Danio rerio: one gene and its partners. The protein of the gene in region 1 purifies or fractionates together with the protein of each later gene. This does not show direct contact. Links are inferred from orthologs where the notes say so. Each region holds a gene or a part of one and is shown on either strand. Other genes may lie near its edges. The genes, in order: dmd, sntb2 and sntb1.

Region 1 (7,684 bases):
ATGGTGGGTAATGTAGAATGTTTAGATACATTTGAGTGCAGTTGAAGTCAAAATGATTAGCCCTCCTTTGAATATTTTTTTCTTTCTTTTTCAAATAGTTTCCAAATTTGGGTTAACATGGCAAGGAATTTCTTTACAGTATTTCCGATAATATTTTTTTCTTGTGGAGAAAGTCTTATTTGTTTTATTTCGACTAGAATAAAAACAGTTTTCATTTTTTAAAAACCATTTTAAGTTCAATATTATTAGCCCTTTATTCAGTTTGTCTACTGTTATACAATAATTTGCCCAATTAACCTTGTTAAGCCTTTAAATGTCACTTTAAGCTAAAAACTAGTATCTTGAAAAATATCTAGTAAAATATCATGTACTGTCATCATGGCAGATAAAAGAAATCAGTTATTAGAAATGAGTTATTAAAACTATTACATTTAAAAATGTGTTAAAAAATCTTCTTTCTGCTATACAGAAACTGGGGAAAAATATACAAGGAGGCTAATAATTGAGGAGGGCTACTAATTCTATAATTGCAGTACCACAGTTTAATACATTCTCAATTTGCCTCGTGCAGAAATTTTATAAGAACCTGAGTGAGGTGAAGTCTGAGGTGGAGACGGTGATAAAGACGGGGAGGCAGATTGTGCAGAAGCAGCAGACGGAGCAACCCAAGGAGTTAGACGACAGGCTGACGGCCCTCAAACTCGCTTACAATGATTTGGGTTCACAGGTATGAGAAAACAAGGCTTGAGTGTAAAACGTGCACCATAGTATCGGTTTTGTTCAGTTTCTCATTGTAAATTATTATTACTTTACTTTTTAGAGCAACACAAACTCCTTCAAAAACATGATGTTACACATTTACACATTTGTTAAACACCCTTGAAGGTGGTTAATTACATTTTAGTCAGGTGCACTTCTTATCTCAAGGACTCCCCACAAGTTACACAAAAATCAGTAACTTGTGGGGAAAATAAATAACACTACAATTCAAAACTTTGAGGGCAGGGTTTTTTTATTTATATATGTAAAAATAATACATGTTAGATGTAAAAAAATAACTTCAAATGACCTCCAAATTTCAAATGAAGCTGTTCTCTTAACTGTTTATAAAAGAATCCTGAAACTCTCCAAGGTTTCCTCATATTCATTTTATTTGAATAATTTACTAATTAAAATGAATGGTTAAATGATTGCATTTGATTGATTGATTGAATGAGTGACTAATTGACAAAAAATATTAATTGATTGATTGATTGATTGATTGATTGATTGATTGATTGATTGATTGCATTTGACTGATTAATTGTTTAACTGAATAGCTGATTGATTGATTGATTGATTGATTGATGGATTGATTGATTGATTGATTGATTGATTGATTGATTGATTGATTGATTGATTGATTGATTGCATTTGACTGATTAATTGTTTAACTAAATAGCTGATTGATTGATTGATTGATTGCAAAAGGATTTATGGATTTGATTGATTCCTTGACTGTCACAATTATTTATTGTGATTTGATTTGTCATTGATTGATCAAAATGATTGTTGTTTTGCATTGCGCAGGTAACAGAAGGAAAGCAGGAACTGGAGAAGATTTTGAAGTTACTGAGGAAGTTTAGGAAGGAGGTGAACAGTCTAACCGAATGGCTGGCTACTACTGATGGGGAACTGACGCGCCGCTCATCGGTGGAGGGTATGCCAAGTGATTTGGATGCGGAGTTGGCTTGGGCAAAGGTGAATAAATACTTAAATTTCAGCAGCTTTGTATGAGTCTAAACTATTTGCAAGTCATTAAAGTAATAGTCATCCCATAAAATTACAATTTTGTTATCATTCACTGATTGTAGTGCTCTTATAAGTTTCTTTTCTCCAACGTTCTGATATTCTTTTTAATATATGAAGTGGTGGGAATAACTATTAGAAAATCTTCTTTAGTGTTAAACAAAAAATTTAATAAAATAGGAAACCCATAAAGATTTGGAAATACTTGAGGGTGAGTTAATAGTGAGTAACTTTACATTTTTGGGTGAATTATCCACTTATCCAAGGATAAGCATGATTTTTTTTTAAACATGATTTTTGTTTTCCTACCCAGGCAGCGCAGGAGGACACTGAGCATCATAAGCCACAGTTGAAACTGGTGAGGGAGTTGGCAGGGACCCTGAAGGGTTTACTTCATAGCCAAGAGAACCTGATTGATGACAAGGTCAGTTTGCTGAACTGCAACTGGATCGCAGTGACGTCACGGAGCGAACAGTGGCTCAAACTCCTGCTGGTGAGCAACAACCGCTTCGTAGCAACAGTCTGACCCTGCTCTGAGTCATTTCATTGTAGGCAAAATATTTCTTAAGCTAAATGTGCCCTACAAGGCTAAATTCATTTCCTTTCAATTTCACATCTCCATATTGTTCTTTTAAATCCAGATGGCCATTTCTGGAGGCGGCAATAATGTTATGAAACTTTAAAGCATATTTATCTCCTGCTCTTCTTTATTACCTTTTCTACTGCTCGCCGTTTCCACATCTCATCTTTTATCTTTCTGACTATGTTTTCTACCTTATTCCGCTTTGTAAATAGCTATAAATATCTTGGGGACAACATGTCAAGAGATGAGGCTTAGCCTTGAAGCTAAAATGAAAGGATTAAATAAAAGTAAATTCATAAAATGAAGATTCTGTTAATGTTTTCTAACTTATATATTATTTACCTTATATGTCCACATAGCACAAAAAGAAAATGTTTAATAATATATTTTTCAATTTTTTGCATGCAGTGGAAGAAAGTCTAATGTTTCACAGGTGTATATCAGAGTTTATTAAAAAATAATATGGCATTCTAGGGCTGCACAATATATTGTTTCAGCATCGGTATCGCAATGTGATCATTCGCAATTGTCACATCGTACGATATGCAATGTTGAGTCTATATTATTATGTTATTATTATAAGCCAGAATTTACATGTTTTTTTTAAGCCTTTGACTGCATTCACGGCCAAGAAACGGTACCGTTTGTAACTTTAATAAAGATTCATTTTATTGAATTATTATTATTATTATTATTTAGTTACTACACCAGAAGACTATTAGACTCGGAAAAAGATAAAAAATTCAGTCGTATCTTGTATTTTTTTTATTGCATTGATCTATGCTTGAAGGTGGTTAATTATATTTTAGTCAGGTGCATTTCTTATCTCAACCGAACCAATCTAAAATAATTAATCCTTTCCAAATCGAAGTATTCAAGTCTTCTGCTAAAATGGTAATCATATCACAATATCGATTTTTCCAGTAGTGTGCAGTTCTAACGTATACAGTGTAATTAAGTTAAGATTTATGCATGATTTATTTTTATTTGGTAGTCAGTCAGTATTTTATATTGTCCTGTTGTAATTTCTGCTGATGATACGGTTCTCATCTGAAGTTTCAAAGAAACCCTATTAGTAGTTGATAATTAAAATAAAACACATTTAACACATACACTCGCCGGCCACTTTATTAAGTGCAATTAAGGGTTAAAGCAGTTCCAAAGGCAAACGTGTTTACAACCCGGTACTAGTAAGTTGTACCTAATAAAGTGCCCGGTGAATGTATCTGTTAATGGCCACTCAGAGAACCAAAATTAACTCTGATGCTGTTTCTATTTTTCAAAGCTGTATGTTTCGCTGTTTTTTTAACATGCAATGTTTGTAAGAACACAACCGTGAATAAATAATAACAGACAGTACATTTTTGGATAAACGTTTACTTTAACGTAGCATCTACTGTAATATCACAGCCTGTTATGGAGCATATTTCTTTATGCTATTAAGCGAAGCTGAATGTAAACATACAGTATCTCCATCTGCCATGCAGGATTATCAAAATCAAATGAAAACACTTGAGCAGAACATTTCTCAGATCAACACCTGGATGGATCGCGCAGAAGAGAAGCTGGATGAGATGGACAGCCAGGGCTGCATTGAGCACGTTATAAAGGTCTTCAGACACTCACAATATGCTTCTGCACTTCACAACCGAATGTTTTCTGTTTTTGAGGACTAGAGACGGTTTTATGCAGCCATACTTTTGCATCAAATTAAAGGAAAAGTTATCCATCTTTCTTTGGCAATGATGTTTTGATGGCTCATTAATTGGAGGCAATTTGCAGCAAATAAAACTCTAGATTAAGCCATTAAGGAGAACAAAACAGACAGATGGCCAAAAAATTGTATTTTAGATTTAGAATACAGATCATCATTCATCCGTACCATCTATACATTAAATATAACCGTCTTTTGTAACTTATTACCTAAATATTTGGTAACACTTTACAATTTGTGTAAGTTAATGAATTAGTTAACATGTATCAATGACGAAAAACACATTTGTTAAGCATTACTTATTCTTTAATGGTAACTAAACATATAATAACATGTTAGTTGATGGATTAGTTAACATGAACTGAAGGCGAACAATGTTTGTTCAGCATTATAATCTTTAATAGTTGTTAATGTTTAATTGCAATGCAATAACCAGAACAATTAAGTTACAGTAAGTAGAATTTTTTTTCTGTTTGTAACAAGTGATAAAAACTAGAAAATCTAGAAAAATTTAATTATAAAAACCAGTAAATTAAGTTGCTGTAACTATAATAAAAAACTACTTCGTTAGTTAGTTAGTTCTAACTTAAATGTTGTAATTAGCACAACTTAAATTTTCTAGCTAATGCAACTCAATTATTCTAGGTCTTATACTGTAACTTAATGTTTTAGTTAGCACAGCTTAAATATTCTACCTAATGCAACTCAATTATTCTAGATCATATACTGTAACTTAATTTTGTAGTTAGCACAACTTAAATATTCTAGCTAATGCAACTCAATTATTCTAGGTCTTATACTGTAACTTAATGTTTTAGTTAGCACAGCTTAAATATTCTACCTAATGCAACTCAATTATTCTAGATCATATACTGTAACTTAATTTTGTAGTTAGCACAACTTAAAATTTCTAGCTAATGCAACTCAATTATTCTAGGTCTTATACTGTAACTTAATTTTGTAGTTAGCACAACTTAAATATTCTAGCTAATGCAACTCAATTATTCTAGGTCTTATACTGTAACTTCATTTTTGTAGATAGCACAACTTCAAATTTTTAGCTAATGCAACTCAATTTTTCTAGGTAATATACTGTAACTTAGTTTTTGTAGTTAGAAAAACTTAATTGTTGTAATTACTGCAACTTTTTTTCTAGTTACCGCAACTTAATTTTTCTAGTTCTTATAACTTTTTTTGTAGTTCTCATAACTTACTTTTTTGTTACTGCAATTTAATATTTTTTTTGAGTTTTTAATTGTCAAGTGTAATTGTATTTTTTTTTTTTTTGCAATACCTATGAATTAATCAGATTTATAGCATTTATTCTAAATGCATCATTCATAACTGATTTGTTGGTGTTTTCTGAATGTTCAGGGTTTGCGAATGGAGTTGGAGGAGATGAAGGGGAAAGTTGAAGCAGTGCAAGTTCTAGCAGAGGATCTTATAAAGAACACAGGGGAACATTGTAAAGCTCAAGTGAAACCAAAGCTTGAACAGCTTAACCAACGTTTTGACATTGTTGCAAGAAGGATTTTAATGGGACAGGTAATGCTATGAAAAGGTGCATGCCTATACACTACCTGACAAAAGTCTTGTTGTCAATCCCAGTTGTAAGAGCAACGAATTATAACTTGACTTCTAGTTGATCATTTGAAAAAGTAGCAGAAGGTAGATTTTTCAGATGAATCAGATCAGATGAATCAGTACTGCAGAAGACCTATTGAAACCAGCATGGACCAAATATTCTCACTGAAAGTAGTCAAGTTTCGAGAAGAAAAAATCATGATTTGGGGTTACATTCAGTATGGACCAAGCTAGAGATCTGCAGAGTGGATGGCAACATCAACAACCTGAGGTAACAAGACATTTGTGCTGCCTATTACATTACAAACCACAGGAGAGGGCAAATTCTTCTGCAGGATAGCACTCCTTCTCATACTTCAGCCTCCACATCCAAGTTCCTGAAAGCTAAGAAGGTCAAGGCGCTCCAGGATTGGCCAGCCCAGTCACCAGACATGAACATTATTGACCATGTCTGGTAAGATGAAGGTGGAGGCGCAGAAGATGAATCCAAAGAATCTTGATGAACTCTGGGAGTCCTGCAAGAACTCTTTCTTTGACATTCCAGATGACTTTATTAATAAGTTATCTGAGTCATTGCAGAGATGTTTGGATGCAGTTGTTCAAGCTCATGGGAGTCATACACAATATTAATTCTCTTTCCACTGCACCATGACTTACTGTACATATACTGCACATTATTTCTGTTAAGTGACAAGACTTTTGTATAAGCAAAGTCAGACCTTGCTGACCTTATTAAAGAATTAAAAATCAAGGCATGATCATGTTTTATTTTGGTAAAATAAGAGTCACCTAAGCCTTTGTCTTTCATGCAAGCCACTTCTGATACCAAATGATCAACTAGAAGTCAAGTTATTATTTGTTGTTCCTAAAACTTTGATAGGCGACAAGACTTTTGTCAGGTATTGTACTGTATATGCATACACTATAAAACATATGCTGGGTTGCCGTAACCCAATGTTGGACAATGTACAATATGGACAAACCCAACTATTTGGTTTAAAAGTGTCATTTAAATGTAATTGAAAAAAATATCCCAACACTGAGTTTGTTTTTGTTTGACCCAATACTGGATTACAACAACTGAGCATTTTTGGTGTATATATGCACAGAATTCACATTATTTTTTTCATATAAGATAAGGATGTGGCCTATTATCCAAACTGATACTTCTTATCATATAATTTCAATGTGTTTTCATAGTTATAAACATACTGGTTAGTAGCAAAAGTATTTTTTTCTAGTTGTTTACATATCACCACCTTGGAATTGTAAGGGTTTATCTCCATTCTGAGCAGTTTTACGTATTTCAAACTAACAAGGACATATAAGAAAAGTGAATTTGAATCTGATTTCTCTCCCTCTGCTGAAGCTAAATTCGTTAGCGACATTGTCTTATTATGCCACTTAGAAAATAGATTTTTTTTCAATGAATATAATTGGATTTGAATGTATTTGATCATATTTTCTTCCAGGCCTCCTCCCAAGAGTTAGACGAGTACCACAGACAGGCTAATATATGGCTCCAGGTGCTGGACGAGGAGATTAAATTAGGTGAAAGTCTAAAAGAGGAAGATTTCCTGGAGGATGCGGTAAGAAAATACTCTCAGCTGTTTCTTTGGCTAAAATTAATTTCAGTCATTGGAACCGCGCGGCCTGCGAAAGGCTCCGAGCTTTATCGTAAAGATCTCATGACAAGAAACGTAATGAGTTTCAGTGAGCGGGTCTGCTGCATGAGTAACAAATGCTGGCACAGAACGTCATTGCATTCCATATATCTATCAGATAGACGGATGGATGGTTGGATGGATGGATGGATGGATGGATGGATGGATGGATGGATGGATGGATGGATGGATGGATGAATGGACGGACGGACGGATGGATGGCAAATAGATGTGTACTATAGATAGATGGACAGATCAACGTAAAAATGGATGTGTGGATGGATGGTAGATAGAAAGATCGATAGAAGTATGGATTGATAGATGTGGTTAGACTGTATATTAATATGATTT
Region 2 (8,461 bases), on another chromosome or scaffold:
ACACATGACAGTTTAAACTATCACACACCAAACGCGCACATTCGCATGATATTTAACATGAAACTAATCAGATGGCGCTCTATGGCGCGGCTGAAATATGACCTGCGTCTAGAATCGTGGTGCTGCGCGGCGTGTCGCCGAGAGGGAGTAGGGGGAGGCTGCAGACTTGGAATCCAGACAGATCTACGGCCCAAGCAGTTTTACGGCCCAGGCAGTTTTACGCCCCTGTTGTTCCTGTTGTGTCCAGTAGAGGGAGGCAGTACAGTGTTATTTTAAGCCTCCAGAACTTTATCTCACCCAACCAAACGCAACACGATGAAGAGGTATCTATGTTAAATATGTGTTTAAAACATGGAACTTAAACCTTTTTTTTTAATTAGATTAAGATCGATGTGAGTGTATGTCAACACAAACAAATTGGTGTAGTATAACAGCAATGTGTTAGTTTGACTCAATTTTAGGTAACTATGTGCAGGCCAGCTACATGTTCTACATCAACAAAAGAGTAAAAGAACATTAACCTACATAAGAAAGTGTGATATGAAGGCAAATTTTCTTTTACCTTTTTGTCTCAGCAAGGGAGTAATTATTATATATTTAATAATTTTTAAAGATATATACACTTGCATGGTCTGGGTTGTTAGCCAAATCTGCACTCCAACTACACTATTCCTCCAAATTTGACTTTCTTAAATATTGAAATAAATCTAATCAGGTCTGAAAATTTAATTGATTTTATTTTAAATTTTAAAATTGCATTACTTTCAATTACAATCAATGTAATGCAATCCTGTTCTAATTTAAACAATTAAACTATCATATATCTATAAATGCATATAGAAACTCCCAATTATAAATTGTCTACTCATTTTTGTTCATATAGCTATCCAGTACATTTTATATATTACCAATGAAGTTTGAATTGCACATGCAATCATATTGTTTATCCCTTATTGTTTCACAATATTTATTGTAACAATACCTCTGCATTCTTATCAAAGCACATCATTACTCCATATTACACTGTATTGTTTGGTTATAATTTTGTTATTTTCAAAATGCAAATTTATATATGAACAATACAACAAATGCATATCTCTATATGAAAACGTATAGCTTGGCAACAATTAACCATTACACTATCCAACAACTTGTGTTTTTAATTTTTCTAATTAAATTAATGTAAATTAATTTGCAATTGGGCTTTTGCATATCTGGAATTATTTGGTGAGTGTATCAATTCTGCATATTACATAGTAAGTTTATAACTCACTTTATGATAAATTAACTTGGCGTTCATATTTAGCGTAATCTAATTTAAAGTATACATTTATGAACAGGACATTTAATAATCTGGGAGCGTTGACTTCAAATATATTATGTAGCCATGTATCTTTCACCCCCCCCTACTGGACGCATTAGGAACAACAGGGGTGTAAAGCTGTGGGGCGTAAAACTGCCTGGATCCAAGTCTGCAGACGCCCCATATAGCCGAGAGGCGCTTCTGGTGTGCTTCCTGCTTCATACAGAGTGAACCAAAGCACATTGGTGCCAATATAATGAATTAATTTTTTTTTTTTTTTAAATCGCGATTTCTCGATTTGATTCAAAATTAAATCGTCTGGAAACGTAAATTCGAATTAATCGAAAAAAATCGCCCAGCCCTAACTTTCCCAATTCTAAGACTGTATCTGACAATTAGTCACAGGCAAATAAACTTTAGTGACAAGGCAGCAAGTGGCCTGATCGGGCCAGTAATGATCCTGTCTACTGTCCCGAGCATCTCACACGCTGGCCTGGCAGTCCTTATTGTTGAGCCCTGATTGGCATCATTTATTTCGGTGTTTCGGTATCTGCTAAGAATTTTCATTTCGGTGCATCCTTATTTTGCATTTCTAATGGAATATTCCAGCATTGGTGCAGTATCATGGGATCATTTCTGAGCCATTTAAAGATTCAGCTCTCGGTTTAATTAGGCCAGTGCTGATGAGGATAATGAGTGTGTGAACAGAGCTCATCTCACGAGACCCCGCTCCACAGTTCTCATCAGTCTCGGTGTCTCTCAGGCAGGAGATTGAGCAGATCAACATGTGTTTCACTGAGCTGATGGACAGGGCGTATAATGGAAGTCAACGGGGCTCTTAAATGTGTTATCCTGGAGGCTCAGTGCCAGTGCTGGGGAGACATTTAAATACCACAACACTCACTGGACTCCACCAATGTAAACTCTGCCTGTGCCAATATTGCGTTTAAGTCAGTTTTGTTTAACTATTTGTAAATATGAAAATTAAGCACCAAGTAAAAAAACTGATATTTGTAGAAATATTTGTAAGCTGACCAAATTTACACTAAAATAGGAATCAGATATTAGGTTTCGATCCAGAAAAAATAAATCATTTGCATAAATAAATTTGACTAAACTATAATATTTTGTAGGAAGAATTAATTAAATTAAATGGTCATTAATTAAAATTTTTATTTATTGTCACTGTACAAAAATGTGTCATGATTCCACTTATTATATTTATCTTTTATTAATCACAGCTTTTCGCGTGTTTTTGCAATACAAATAATTTTTATTACCATGATTTTTGTTGTTTTTTAAATAATAAGATGATATATCCCCTTAAAATTTTAGACCATATCAACAAAAGTAACAAATCCAATATTTTGTAATATAATAATAATAATAATATTGCTGACAAATAAAATTTCTAATTAAGTGAATTACATTATTTAAAGATATTAAAGACTTTTATCTGCATTTTTTTCATGCTACCTACAATTTTTGCTTTTATTTTATAGTTTTTTTGTTTTATAGTCTACAAACTTCGACACAAAATTTGTGGGACTATTTATTAGACAATGTTTACATGTCAAAACGATTCTTTCAGGCCCACAAAATGCATACAATTTATATAATTTAGTTTGAAAAACGTGTTACATAGATTTACTCTTAGGTACGAGACTAATGAAAATAAAGTCGCAAAACAGATTCTTTCATTCATTCATTTTCTTTTCAGCTTAGTCGTTTTATTAATCTGGGTTCGCCGCAGCGGAATGAACCATCAACTTATCAAGCATATGTTTTATGCAGCGGATGACCTTCCAACCGCAACCCAGCGCTGGGAAACACCCATACACTCTTGCATTTACACCCACACGTACACTACGGCCAATTTATTCAAATCCCCTATAGCGCATGTGTTTGGACTGCGGGGAAACCAGAGCACCTGGAGGAAACCCACACCAACATGGGGAGAACATGCAAACTCTACACAGAAATGCCAACTGGCACAGCCGGGGCTCGAACCAGCAACAATCTTGCTGTGAGGCGACAGTGCTAACCACTGAGCCACCGTGCCGCCCAAAACAGAATCTTTACTAGGAAAAAAATAGTGGGGCTGGATTTTTACACTGACTGTGGTTTGCTATTGGTCAGTCACACTGAATGACACCTTGACTCCGCCTTCATGCCAGTGAACACCAATCAAAGAAGAAGAGCCACTGAAGTGGGCGTTATTTTGAAGAAAACTTGTATGAAATGTTATTTATTTAAAATTAAAAAAAATGTGCAAAGACAATAATTAATAATAAATATCGTACTAAAGTGTTTCAACACCGAACTAAAATATCATTCAAAATTAGAATTTTTGTATTGCAGAATATGGGTATTGCAAATCAGAGTTATTGATAGATGTTTAGGGGATAAATCAATCATTAGATAGATAAAAAATATATAAATAAAAAATAATACTGTGATTTCACCAAAAAAAAATGAAGTTAAAAAAGTACAGTAATACAGTACATCTGTTTATCTATTCCTCTTTTACTGTATTACTCCCATTCCTATTCAAATCATACCTGGTGTTTGGAGAAAATTGCTATTAGAGAAAAAAAAGTTATCTGCTTATTACCACAAAAAACCTTCAGTCATGCACATCACACATCTGTAAGTTTCATAACTTCAGTAAGGGGTTTCCAAACCTCTTATAAACCTGAATTATCTAATATGTCAAATGAGCCAATGTTTACAACATGAACAGTTAAAACTCAACACAATAAAACCTGAAACACCTCAAAGTTTCTATTTAGGCGTGTAAATTATGAACACATAAATAATTAATTATTCAAAAAACTTTGTTTTGATTAACGGTAAACTACAAAGGCCTACTGAATCCCCGCGGCTCGAGTGATTGACTTACCCTCCAGCGTGACCTCCTTCCCAGCCTTCTTCAGCGCCTGCACCGCCGCGTCGTGCGTAGCGTCGCGGAGGTCGCTGCCGTTGACGGACAGTATCGCGTCGCCCACACGCAGAGCTCGACTCTGATCCGCAGCTAAACCGGGGAAGATCTTTGATATTAGGATAGGCATACGGTTCTCCCGTCCCCCTTTAATGCTAATCCCCAGTCCGCCGGACTCCTGCTTGACTATCCGAACTCTGCGTACCCCCTCCGAGTCACAGTAACCGCTGGACTCCGAGTCCGACCCGGTCCCGTTAACGCGACCCGGGCTGTTGTCGTATTGCACGCGATTCGTAAACACATCCCGGTTCTGTTCGTTGCCATTGGAAACGCCGTTTTTCAGATGCGAATTGTGCTCCGGGTAACCCGCGGGCCCGCCCGGTTCTCCCTCCGCCGTGAGAGTGAGGTTGTCCCGCGTGAGCTCCGCTGACACCCGGACCCAGCGGTCGCTCAGCAGAAGGTCCAGATGACCCTGTTTCTCCGCGCGGGTCCACACGGCCATCATCAAACTTTAACTCATCCTAAAGTTTAAACTCGCTCGACACACCCACTCGCACGCACATTTCCCCTGAGGAAGGAAGAGGAGCGAAATTTTAATAATAAATCTGTTTAATAAGTTTAAACATTGGTATTTATTGCTGCAGCTCTCCGAGTTCGGGTTCTCACGGCACGGAGAAACTATTTAATTAAAAACACGCGCTGCTGCTTAGACCGGACGGCCGGAGAAAAGCGTTAGATTTGTATCTCATTGATTATTCATGAGAGGGGCGGGGATTGTCAACTTATTTATCTTTCCTCGCCGCACTAAAGCCACTAAAGCTGTACAGTGATTTAGAAACAAAGCGAAAATAATGGCGTAAAATTACTTCAGTGTCATCATTACTGTATGACTTTTGTTCTTATTATAATGCAGCTTTTAGTTGTAATAAGATAGATAGTAGGAAAACAAAGATAACTCTCTCATTAATAATTAATCAGATTCAAATCTTTATACGTTGAATAAGTTAATATCCAACAACAAATAATAATAATAGTTATTGTTAGTATTATAATTAATATAAAACAAAATAAATACGTTTTTAATATAAAATTTTAACTTGTCACTATTTCACAGACAGTTAAAAGACTATTGGTGAGCTAATTTAAGTTTTTATAAATAGATGGGATTATTAGTTAATTTTCATATTTACTGTTTTCATTTTAATAGAGAATTAAATTAAGCTTTAATAATCCTTCCATCCCGATACCATAAAGCAAAGTCCATTTTCATCTGTAGCTGAAGGGATTGAAGCTCTATTGTATTGAAGTCATGTGTTTGGTAAATCTGCTGGTCAATATAACACATAAGTGTTTTTGCCCAAAATAATATTGACTCGCAGTAAAAGATGTTGACTGTTCTCATTAGCTTCAAAGTGTTACTCATACTCTAAATGACTCACCTCAGCTTTAAAAAAAAACTCTAATACACAGCTTTATTTTATTTATCACAGTTGACAGAAAATTTATGTATGATAATTGTTTTTCCTTACACTAATTAATGTAGTCGTGTTGTTTTGAATTTGAGGGGGGAGGGGGGGGAGTATTCAAAATACAGTTTTGTGTAAGCGTTTGTGAATATGTTTATAGCACGAATATGGAAAAGAGGGAAAACTGATGAATCAACTGAGGATCATCAGGAACAACCATCACAAAGTAAAATAAATAAATAAGAACATAATTTCAGCTATTTTTCTGTCATGTAAACATCTTTGTTGTAAAATTTAGAATTGAAAAAAACAGCCTATGAACTCCTCAAAATGATTAATAAATTCAGAATTGCAGGAAGAAGAAAAAAACTAATTCAGAATTGTAATATAAACAAAGAAACATGAGATAGAAAAGTATCTCTGAACACACAACATGTCCAACCTTGAGGCGGATGGGCTACAGCAGCAGACAAACACACCGGGTGCCGCTCCTGTCAGCTACGAACAGGAAACTGAGGCTACAATTCACACAGGGTCACCAAAATTAAACAATAGAAGATTGGAGAAACGTTGCCTGCTCTGATGAGTCTCCATTTCTGCTGTGACATTCAGATGGTCGGGTCAGAATTTGGCCTCAACAACATGAAAGCATGGATCCATCCTGCCTTAAATCAACAGTTCAGGCTGGTGGTGGTGGTGGTGTAATGGTGTGGGAGATGTTTTCATGACACACTTTGGGCCCATTAGTACCAATTAATCATCGTGTCAACACCACAGCCTACCTGAGTATTGTTGCTGACCATGTCCATCCCTTAATAACCACAGCGTACCCATCTTCTGATGGCTACTTCCAGCAGAAGAACGCCGTTAAGTGCCAAACATCTCAGACTGGTTTCTTGCATGACAATGAGTTCACTGTACTCAAATGGCCTCCCCAGTCACCAAATCTCAATTCAATAGAGCAGCTTTGGGATGTGGTGGAATGGGAGATTGGCATCATGGATGTGCAGCTGACAAATCTGCACATTCATGATGCTATCATGTCAACATGGAGCAAAATCTTAAGAATATTTCCAGTGCCGTGTCGATTCTGAAGGTTAAAGGGGGTCCAACCTGGTACTAGTAAGGTGTACCTAATAAAGTGGCCAGTGAGTGAAGTCACTATTAACAACGTACATAATAAAATACCAAAATATAACACACCAACCGCATCTGTAGTATGGAAAAAATGCTCTGGAGAGTGATTTGTGGCATTGGTTTTATTGCAGACCTTACAAAATAAGAGCTCGAGCTGTGGACGGGAAGGCCACTTTATTACTGGATCACTGTTACCTGCTTCATTCCGACCTTCACTAATCAGTCAAACCAGATAAATACATCACACTCCGATGCTAAACCAAACTCCAAAGCATTAAAAATACATTAGCTTTTAAATATGCATTTACTAATGTACTATATGAGGATCTCTCCTATTAGCACGGCTCAGATACATAGCATTACTTTCAAGCTCGAATCAAGGAAAAGATGAAAAAAGGATTGTCTTTTATATAAGCCTTCTTCACGTTGTGGTTAGAGGTACATAGTGCGGGAGAGGGTGATAAGGCATGAATAATTCATATGTGATTCGCATCTCTATCCTTGAAAAGCCCTGTTCACATCCAGAATGAAAACTATAAAGCTATGTATATATTACAACTTTAAAGGGGACCTACTGTGCAAAAATAACTTTTATAAGGGGTTTAAACACAACTGTGTGGTGACAATCTGCTAATATAACCAGCTTATACTTGTAAATATTTATTAATTTTAATTTTCATGATCAACTTTAATAAAAACAGTCTGCAGAAACACTTTGACTGATGTTCTCCCTTTGTATGATGAGGGGGAAAGCCCCACCCACTCAATCTCTCCCTCATTAGCATATTACATCAGTCTTGTTGTTGAATCTGCCACTATGCTGACACACAGGCATTCGTGGCTCCGCCCTCTTCTGAAAAGAGCACAATCTCATTTGCATTTAAAAAGACAGTCACCAAAAATGCCACAATTTGGATCAAATCTTAAAAGGGGCCATTTCAAAGCATTATAAATCGTTATTTGTGTGGTACTTTGAGCTGAAACTTCATGCACACACAGGCTGCGTCCGAAACTGCCTAATACTCAGTAGGAACTGCATTTGCAAGTAAACGTACTACTCGGCCGTTAGAAAGGTACATTTTATACAGTATGAATTTTGAAAGTATGAATGGAATTCGGACGTACTACATCCGCCATTTTGTCATGGTCACATGACCTACCTGCATCAGTTGCGTCGCCTCACTTCCATTCATGAATTCTCTTAACGGGTCATTTTGGGATAGCGCAGCGTGCATGGAATGCACACTCCAGAATCTCGCCGGAAGTAGTAAGTCATCCAGGTACTTCTCGCCAACTGATTTTCGAATTCTATGAATTCGGACATACTAGTCGGCTCGCATACTGATTTTAGCGTACTATATAGTATGGAAGTATGCGGTTTCGGACGCAGCCACACTCTTGGGACATCAGTGACTCATTTTAAATCTTGTAAAAAAGCAACATAATAGGTCACCAGTGGCGTAGCGCAAAATGCGGGGGCCCCCCTGCAGGGACCACTAACGGGGTCCCCTCATGAGGGGAGGGGGCGATCACAAACTGTGGGGACAGGGAGAGTAGGTGGAGCGACGACACGAGGAAGCGATCATAAATTGAGGAGCGGGAAAGGGGGATGGG
Region 3 (8,227 bases), on another chromosome or scaffold:
AACTGATAAATCTTTAAAGACAGCTGTTGTGAGCTTTGAGGTTTAGGCCATCTGTTTTTTTTATCTTATTTACAAAAAGGGAGTTTAAAAAGTAGTTATGCAGGGAAAGTACAACTGAATTTCCCATTAAGCTGTACAGAAAAATACCAATCAGAGGGACCAATAATCTATTAGCAAAGTCTAAAGCACAGGGCGCAAGGCATCAAGGGCATGTCCAAATCCACTTTTGCTATTTTAAAGATGGAAAAATAAAGTTTGCGCTGCAGAACATGGTCTAACATGGTTGTATTCTCTTAATGAGTTAAGCAGGTCGCACACCAGAAGCGCCGCTCGGCGCCGCGACACGGCGCGTACATGACAGATTAAAGTATCGCACACCAGACGCGCACATTTGAATGATATTTAACATGAAACTAATCAGATGGCGCTTTGTGGCGCGGCTGAAAAATGAACTGCGTCCTGAGCCGTCGCCGGGCGCCGCCGACAGCCGCCGACTTGCGGCGCCGGTGTGTGTATCCTGATAGAAACCTATGTTTAGAATTCTAAAATACATGGCGCTGCGCGGCGCGACGCCGAGCGGCGCTTCTGGTGTGCGACCTGCTTTAGGGTGTGTTTCGAGAATAACGTGTACTAAACCAATGAGAGTCTCATCTCCCATTCCCTTTAAGAGAAGTTGAGTCGCGCCATGACACATTTACTATTTACATGGTGGACTTTGTAAATGGAAATACTGAACACTTCACTAGCAAGAAAACAGTTAAACAAACCATCTGCGGTGAGAGGATAAAGAACGAGCCTCCTTCATTCGGCCTCTTTACTTTCGCTTTCTCCTCACTTTTACTCTTTACTCCTTTCGTGGAAATGGTGTTGTATGTACTCCACTGAAGACATACATTAGCCTACATACTAAATTTTGTTTGTTATGCACAAACATTTGTTTCAAAACTATTTCTAAATTCAGTTCTTATTTCCAGCAAACGAATAAATGAGCAATATTAACAAAGTATGTTTGGAGTTATATCCAAACACACGTCTTATGCCCCATATGGTCAAAAACCAGACAGGTGGACAATTCTAAACCTGTTTTAGGGCTGTGCAATTAATCAAAAATCAGATTATAAAAAAAAACATTAATCTAAATAAACGATTATTCCATCACATACCGCCCCTTTTCCAGTTGTACACGTGTTGCTCTGCAAAGCTCAGTTCCACGTGAAAGTGACTAAAAGCATGTGCTGTAATGTAACTTTTTCAGCATTAATATTATTGATTATTAATCAATAATAAAATAAAAAATACATTGAAGATGCTTAAAGCACAGTTTAAACACAACAGATTTAATAACTCATTTCTAATAACTTATTTATATTATCTTTGCTATGATGACAGTACATTATATTTTACTAGATATTTTTCAAGATACTAGTATTCAGCTTAAAGTGACACAAAGGTTTAATTAGAGTAATTAGGCAAGTCATTGTATAACAGTAGTTTCTTCTGTAGATAATCAAAAATATATATTGCTTGAGGGGGCTAATAATATTGAGCTATTAGAATAGGTTTCAAAATATTTAAACCTGCTTTTATTCTAGCTGAAATAAGAAGAAAAAATATTTTAGGAAATACTGTAAAAAAAAAATCCTCTGTTAAACATCATTTGGGAACTATTTATATATAAAAATAAATTCATAGAAGGGCGAATAATTTTGACTTCAACTGATAATCGTTTTGAATAATCGTGATTATGATTTTTCCCATAATTGAGCAGCCCTAGCCTGTTTGTATTAAAACAAATATAAATATGCATATAAATAATAATAATAATCATCATCATCATTATAATAATAATAACATTATATGAAAGTAAGTTGTCATGAATAAAGTGAAAAAAGCCCCATGAGATGAAGAAAGAACAGAGCAGGCGGTTTTTATATTTATGTGGAAAATAAATTTTGTAATATTTTAATCCTTTAGTTCCTTTTTTCATTTGTAAATTTGCATATTGCTGTACATTGCCTGTGTGTACTAAGCAATATGTACGCATTTAAGGCGCACAACTAACGCGCTCTGTGCTGCACTTTAGACCTGCTTTCAGCTGATCAATTGCACAGTAAATTTTAGTTCCTCAAAATAGCAATGTGCCAACAATGCACCTTAACATACCTCCTTTCTAGACCGACACACCCATGATTCCACAAAGCGCTGAAAAATAGCAACACATCACGCCAAACACGTCTTGCACCTTTTGGCGCCAGGTGTATGATAGGGCCCAGAAAGTGGCAGTGTGCAATGTGTGCCAAATGAGATCTTTGACTCAACGCACTCACATGAAGTCCTCCTACACTCAAAATTTTCACATTTTGAAATAAACATTGAAAATGTATTCGATAAGTACTTATAACAACTTAATTTTTTATTTCTCCATTGTTTTTAATATTTATCCACAACACTTCACAGAGAGTAGTTCTTTGCCTATTTAAAGCGCTTTGCTTTCAGTTGTAGTATTTTTTAGTATACTCTGTTCTAAATATTTGGGTGTAGATACAGCTGGTTAATTACAATCTCGATAATAAATATTGTAATATTTTGTAGAGCACAATGCTCAAAGTTTTTTATCAAAATTATAGGGTTAGTTCACCCAAAATTGAAAACTCACTGTTTACTCACCCTCAAGTGATTCCAAATTTGTATGCGTGTCTTTCTGATTTTGAACACAAAATAAGATATTACGAAGAAAGTCAATGATTACAGGTTTTCGATATTTTTCTAAATATCTTCCTTTGTGTTCAACAGATGTAATAAACTGAAAGGTTTAAAGCATGTTAGAGATGAGTAAATAATGACAGAATTTTCATTTTTTGGGTAAATTATGCCTATAATATTATAATTATTTAAAATAACAACAAATTTAGATCTTTTCCACACAGTCTAAATTAATACATATTCTGTCTCGACTGTGTGGGTATTCCAAGCCTAACTGCCATTGCAAGTCTTCTTCATCTAAGCATATTTCTAAATCCTCAGTTGTATTATGGAAATCTTCAACATGACTGAGCGGAATGAAAGTTATGGATGTCCCTCTGAAATCTGTGGTGTGCTTTTATGATTCAGTCAGAGGGAATTTCAGAGCTTTGTCACTCTCAAGGGTGCTTTCATCCTTAATGTACAACACCGGAGGGCAGAGCAAAAACCTCCATCACTCTGACAATGACCTTCCACAGGTGTGAGAAAAGGACTTGTTTTTGGATTAATTATCAACCTGCTTTAATAAATAAATATATAAATAAATAAACAACTTAAACCAGCTCAGGTTGCTGTATTTATTTGGTTTAGGGTGGGGTTTTGTTTATTTAGCCAAGCAATTTGCTGCGTAAAAAACCCATCATATTTGGTGACCCAAAGGAAATTAACAAGTTGCATAGTTGTAGTACTTCAGTAACCCTTTATAAAACATTTAGTGTTATATTTATGAGACATACTGCATTTCCCATATCTAACAACTTTGTGACTGAATTCTGTGAACATGCCATAACCCTTACTGACACTGTAGCTTGTAACATTGGCCAATTTGCATTTAAACATTAGCGTATGTGAATAAACATTACTTATTGTGATGTGTATTTGTATTTTTTTTTTTACATTTCAAACAAATGTTATCTTTGAATAAATGGGTTTAGTAATTTCTGATTGACTTTGAACTTTTGAGGTTTTTGTTTGTTTGTTTTTAAAGTTCTATTCTTATTATTCAATTGGTCAAGTCTTATGTTATGTGTTCTTTCAAATCTAAACCATAATAAAATACAACTCCTCATAGAGGAAAACTATAAAATGTTATGTGTATATAAAGTTATAACACACGAATGCATATATTTTTATGTATGCATTATGATACAGCATCCACCCTGCCGTGTCACTTCAACAGGTTCATCCACACACCTGATAATAACCCATATAGCCTCATCAAAACTCAGCCTGTCTGGCAGGTTTTCTGGCGTTTTCCTCGTCCTTACCTTCCAGCATAACTTCTTTGCCCGCTTTCTTCAGCACCTGCACCGCCTCGTCGTGCGTGGCGTCCCGCAGATTGATCCCGTTCACGGACAGTATCGCGTCGCCCACGTACAGCGCTTGAGTCTGATCCGCGGCCAGACCCTTGAATATCTTACTAATGAGAATAGGCATCTTATTCTCCTTCCCGCCTTTGATGCTGATCCCTAATCCACCGACCTCCTGCTTGATCACTTTGACGCATCTCTTGCGGTTCGCAATCGCTTCGGGCACTTGTGAATCCGAAAAAGGAGTTCTCGCTCCGGTTTTGGGACTGTTGGTGGGGTCCGGTTGGTCGTAGGAGCCGTTGGTGGTGATGCCGTTCAGGCTGACGCTGGTGTCCGCCGCGGGATCCTCGCAGCTGAGCGTCAGAGACTCGTCCCCTAAACTCGCCAGCACCGCGTGCCATTGCTCCCGCACCAGCACCTCCAAACATGCACTTTTCTGCACTCTGTTACCGCAAACCGCCATCTTTGAAGCATTCTTAAAATGCCATGTGATTTCATACACTCGTACAGGACTTTACCCCCGAACAGGGAAAAAGTTGTGATTCAGGTTGAATAGTTTCAGCCCCTCTACAGGCTCCACATGCATATCCTTTTTGGGTGGAGCAAATGTCTGAGATGTCCTGTGTGGCCATGCTCAACTGCCTCTCGCTGTCAGGAAATGTTTCGTTTCAAGTCTCCGTGTGGGATGTATCTTTTAAATACATCGATGTATTTGATAGATACATTACATTCCACACGGAGATTACATAAAGTAATGTTCATTTATGTCTTTGCAAAAAATAATGGCAGACGGCTTCAGATTGCATTTAGCTGTCACTTGGTATTCAATTTGCGTGTTTACAAACTCTATTATGACTTTCAAGGCTAATGTACGTTAATGTTAGAAAAGTTATGTTCCTGAAAATCCTGCCGTTAAACTTGCCTCAGCTGAACGTTCACGAGCGTTTGTTTACCTCGTGGAAACACGCCACTCATGTGGTTGGGAGACGCCAAATATAATAAAATACAGCTATATTTATAAAGAGCATGTTTTCAAAAAAACACACAGTAACCACCTATAATTAGCGCCTTGTTTTAAGTACTGAACATGGATTTCCGCTGTTGTAATTCCATCACTGTGCCGGTTTGGGAAATAATCTGTTTTGCACCTTTTAACACATTAATTGATGGTTCTCTTTAAATGTACATAACTGGGGGAACAATTATGTCGATTATTCTCAAGCAAGATGATAAAAACATTTATGTGTTTTGCTTGTTTTTTCTCACGAAAAAAAACTGCGGTGTTCCTATTATCTAGACGGTCTACAATTTAGTGGCGTAAACGATTTTAGCGCCATCTGGTGTTTAATATTGGTTTGTGCATTTTTGAAATAACTTCAGTACACTGGACTTGAAGCTGTTTGAACTCTGTTAATTAATTTTCTTTTTGTCTTTCACTAGGGCCTATTTCGCCAACACAGTGGCGCAGTAGGTAGTGCTGTCGCCTCACAGCAAAAAGGTCACTGGTTCGAGTCTCTGCTGGGTCAGTTGGCGTTTCTGTGGGGAGTTTGCATGTTCCGACTGCGTTCGCGTGCACGGGTTTCCTCCGGGTGCTCCGATTTTCCCCACAGTCCAATGACATGCGGTGCAGGTGAATGGGGTAGGCTAAATTGTCCATAGTGTATGAGTGTGAATGAGTGTGTGTGGTTGTTTTCCAGGGATGGGATGCGGCTGGAAGGGCATCCGCTGCGTAAAAACGTGCTGGACAATTTGGCGGTTCGTTCTGCTGTGGTGACCCCGGATTAATAAAGGGACTAAGCCGACAAGTAAATGAATGAATGAAGGGCCTATTTTTGTTTTATTGATTTTTTTATCATTCAAAGCCTTTAAACTTAGAATAAATAATAATGTTTGGACTTATTTTATTGATGCTTCTTTTTACTTTGCCAATTTTTTTTTTTATTGCATGTGCTATAACATGTTTCCCACGTCTTCTGCAGAGCACTTTATAAAGAGATTTGAGACTTCAATTAAAGAAGTCTTGCTACTGTAAAATGTAGAAACAAGATATAACTAAGATAAAAAAAAATAGTAACATCTGACAATATGTGCATATTTGAATAAAGCAATCACCTCTGTGCTTGGCTGATGATCAAAGCAAGGAAAATAAAAAGCTAAAGATTAAATTAGCAAAGTAATCATTTTCTCTACAGATTGTTGCCAAACTGATAGGGATTTAAAAACTGTTTCATGTTGCATTTCCTTTCTGATTTGTTGACGGTGAAGCAAACATTTTTATCCAATTCAATACAGTGGAAAAACATGACAAGACTGATTTCATTAAGACTGAGAACAATGCCATTGTTCCATTGAATTAAAAGTGTTCTAAATCTGTTTCATGTCTCTCTGGGTTTGATTGGGACAAATTTAAGGATTAAGACTTGCATGAAATGTACAGGTTATCCCTAAAACAGCTTGCAGGAATCCGTGACTGAAATTTACAAGGGCTGCTGTACCAAAGGGAATGACTTTTCCTTCTTTTTTTCTGAATTGTGAAAGTACTTTTTGTCAGTCCCTGATGATTGTGAAACAGCAGGGAGGCACATGCAGCTCATTAGAGTTGAAATAAAAAACCATGTTGAAACGTTCATGCTCTCGGGTGTACAGAGAAAAGAGAAAGACTCAGGGGTGAAAGACAGATGCAGTCGTACACTTTTGTTACTTCGACAAGGTAACTTCTATTTGTGTAGTCCGAAAATGATCTCAAACTACAGTAACTATAGTGTCTGTCAACGCATGATATCCTTAATGGCAATATTTCTTTCAGAATTTTAGATTGAGACTTTAAATGGGACACGAGTGCTAACTAATTTCGATTTTTCTTCATCAATGTACCATCCCAAGTTGATGCTTTAAGGCATGGTTCACCCAAGGTTCCATGTTTGAGTTTTTATGTTCTTCTCGCGCCTGCATGAGTTTTGTAATGTAATGTAATGTGTATTTATATAGCACATTTATTGTGTATGGCCATACACCCAAAGCGCTTCACAATCATGAGGGGCAGTCTCTCCACACTTAGTGCCCACTTACAGTATAGTGTCCCCTTCACTTTTACTGGGGCATTAGGACTCACACAGACCACAGGTTGAGCGTCTCCTGCTGGCCTTTCTAATACCACTTCTAAAAGCAGTCTAGTTTACCCATGTGGTCTCCCATCCAGGTACTGACCACGCTCAGCCCTGCTTAGTTTCAGTGAGTAACCAGTCTTGGACTACAGGGTGATATGGCTGTCCTCTCTTTGCAAAGTACAAAGACATACAGTATATTGGTCAAACTACAATAAGCAAAGAGTTTGAATAGGTAAGTATGTGGGTAATTCCCAGGACTGGTGGTTGCACAAGTGAGTGTACTCTCAGGGCATCCACTGGTAAAATATGTGCCAGAGTCTGTGTGTGTGTGTGTGTGTGCGCCCACACACAAAAACGCACACACACACACACACACACACATATATATATATATATATATATATATATATATATATATATATATATATATATATACATACATACATACATACATATACACACACTCACCAGCCACTTTATTAGGTACACCTCTCCAACTGCTCATTAATGCAAATTTCTAATCAGTCACTCACGTGCATGGTCTGATGAGTCTTGATTTCTGCTGCAACATTCGGATGGTAGGGTCAGAATATGGTGTCAACAAAATTAAAGCATCGATCAATCCTGCCTTGTATCAATAGTTCAGGCTGGTGGTGGTGGCGTAATGGTGTGGGGGATATTTTCTTGGCAATTGAGCATTGTGTCAATGCCACAGCCTACCTGAGTATTGTTGCTGATCATGTCCATCCCTTTATGATCACAGTGTACCCATCTTCTGATGGCCACTTCCAACAGGATTACGTGCCATGTCATAAAGTGTGAATCATCTCAGACTGGTTTCTTGAACATGAAAATGAGTTCACTGTACTCCACGGTCACCAGATCTCAGTCCAATAGACAGAGCACCTTTAAGATGTGGCAGAACAGAAGATTCACATCATGGATGTGCAGCTGACAAATCTGCAGCAACTGTGTGATGCTATCATGTCAGTATGAACCAAAACCTCTGAGGAATATTTCCATTACCTTGTTAAATGCCATGAACGATTAAGACAGGTCTGAAGGCAA

What was found.
Region 2: the proteins of dmd (region 1) and sntb2 purify together in Homo sapiens (co-immunoprecipitation; 4 studies listed by BioGRID and IntAct, counting the BioPlex papers as one, with this or other methods). This does not show direct contact. The link is inferred for Danio rerio from reciprocal best matches to the Homo sapiens genes DMD and SNTB2.
Region 3: the proteins of dmd (region 1) and sntb1 purify together in Homo sapiens (co-immunoprecipitation; 4 studies listed by BioGRID and IntAct, counting the BioPlex papers as one, with this or other methods). This does not show direct contact. The link is inferred for Danio rerio from reciprocal best matches to the Homo sapiens genes DMD and SNTB1.

Annotation. Positions count from the first base shown.
Region 1 is NC_133176.1:12,342,317-12,350,000, reverse strand, and holds part of dmd (dystrophin), read left to right. Parts: coding exon 1-3; intron 4-571; coding exon 572-727; intron 728-1,569; coding exon 1,570-1,740; intron 1,741-2,101; coding exon 2,102-2,281; intron 2,282-3,858; coding exon 3,859-3,981; intron 3,982-5,459; coding exon 5,460-5,630; intron 5,631-7,141; coding exon 7,142-7,258; intron 7,259-7,684. UniProt on the Homo sapiens protein: Anchors the extracellular matrix to the cytoskeleton via F-actin. Ligand for dystroglycan.
Region 2 is NC_133200.1:37,487,009-37,495,469, reverse strand, and holds the start of sntb2 (beta-2-syntrophin), read right to left. Parts: upstream 5,005-8,461; 5' UTR 4,750-5,004; coding exon 4,206-4,749; intron 1-4,205. UniProt on the Homo sapiens protein: Adapter protein that binds to and probably organizes the subcellular localization of a variety of membrane proteins. May link various receptors to the actin cytoskeleton and the dystrophin glycoprotein complex.
Region 3 is NC_133191.1:15,591,481-15,599,707, forward strand, and holds the start of sntb1 (beta-1-syntrophin), read right to left. Parts: upstream 4,566-8,227; 5' UTR 4,516-4,565; coding exon 4,011-4,515; intron 1-4,010. UniProt on the Homo sapiens protein: Adapter protein that binds to and probably organizes the subcellular localization of a variety of membrane proteins. May link various receptors to the actin cytoskeleton and the dystrophin glycoprotein complex.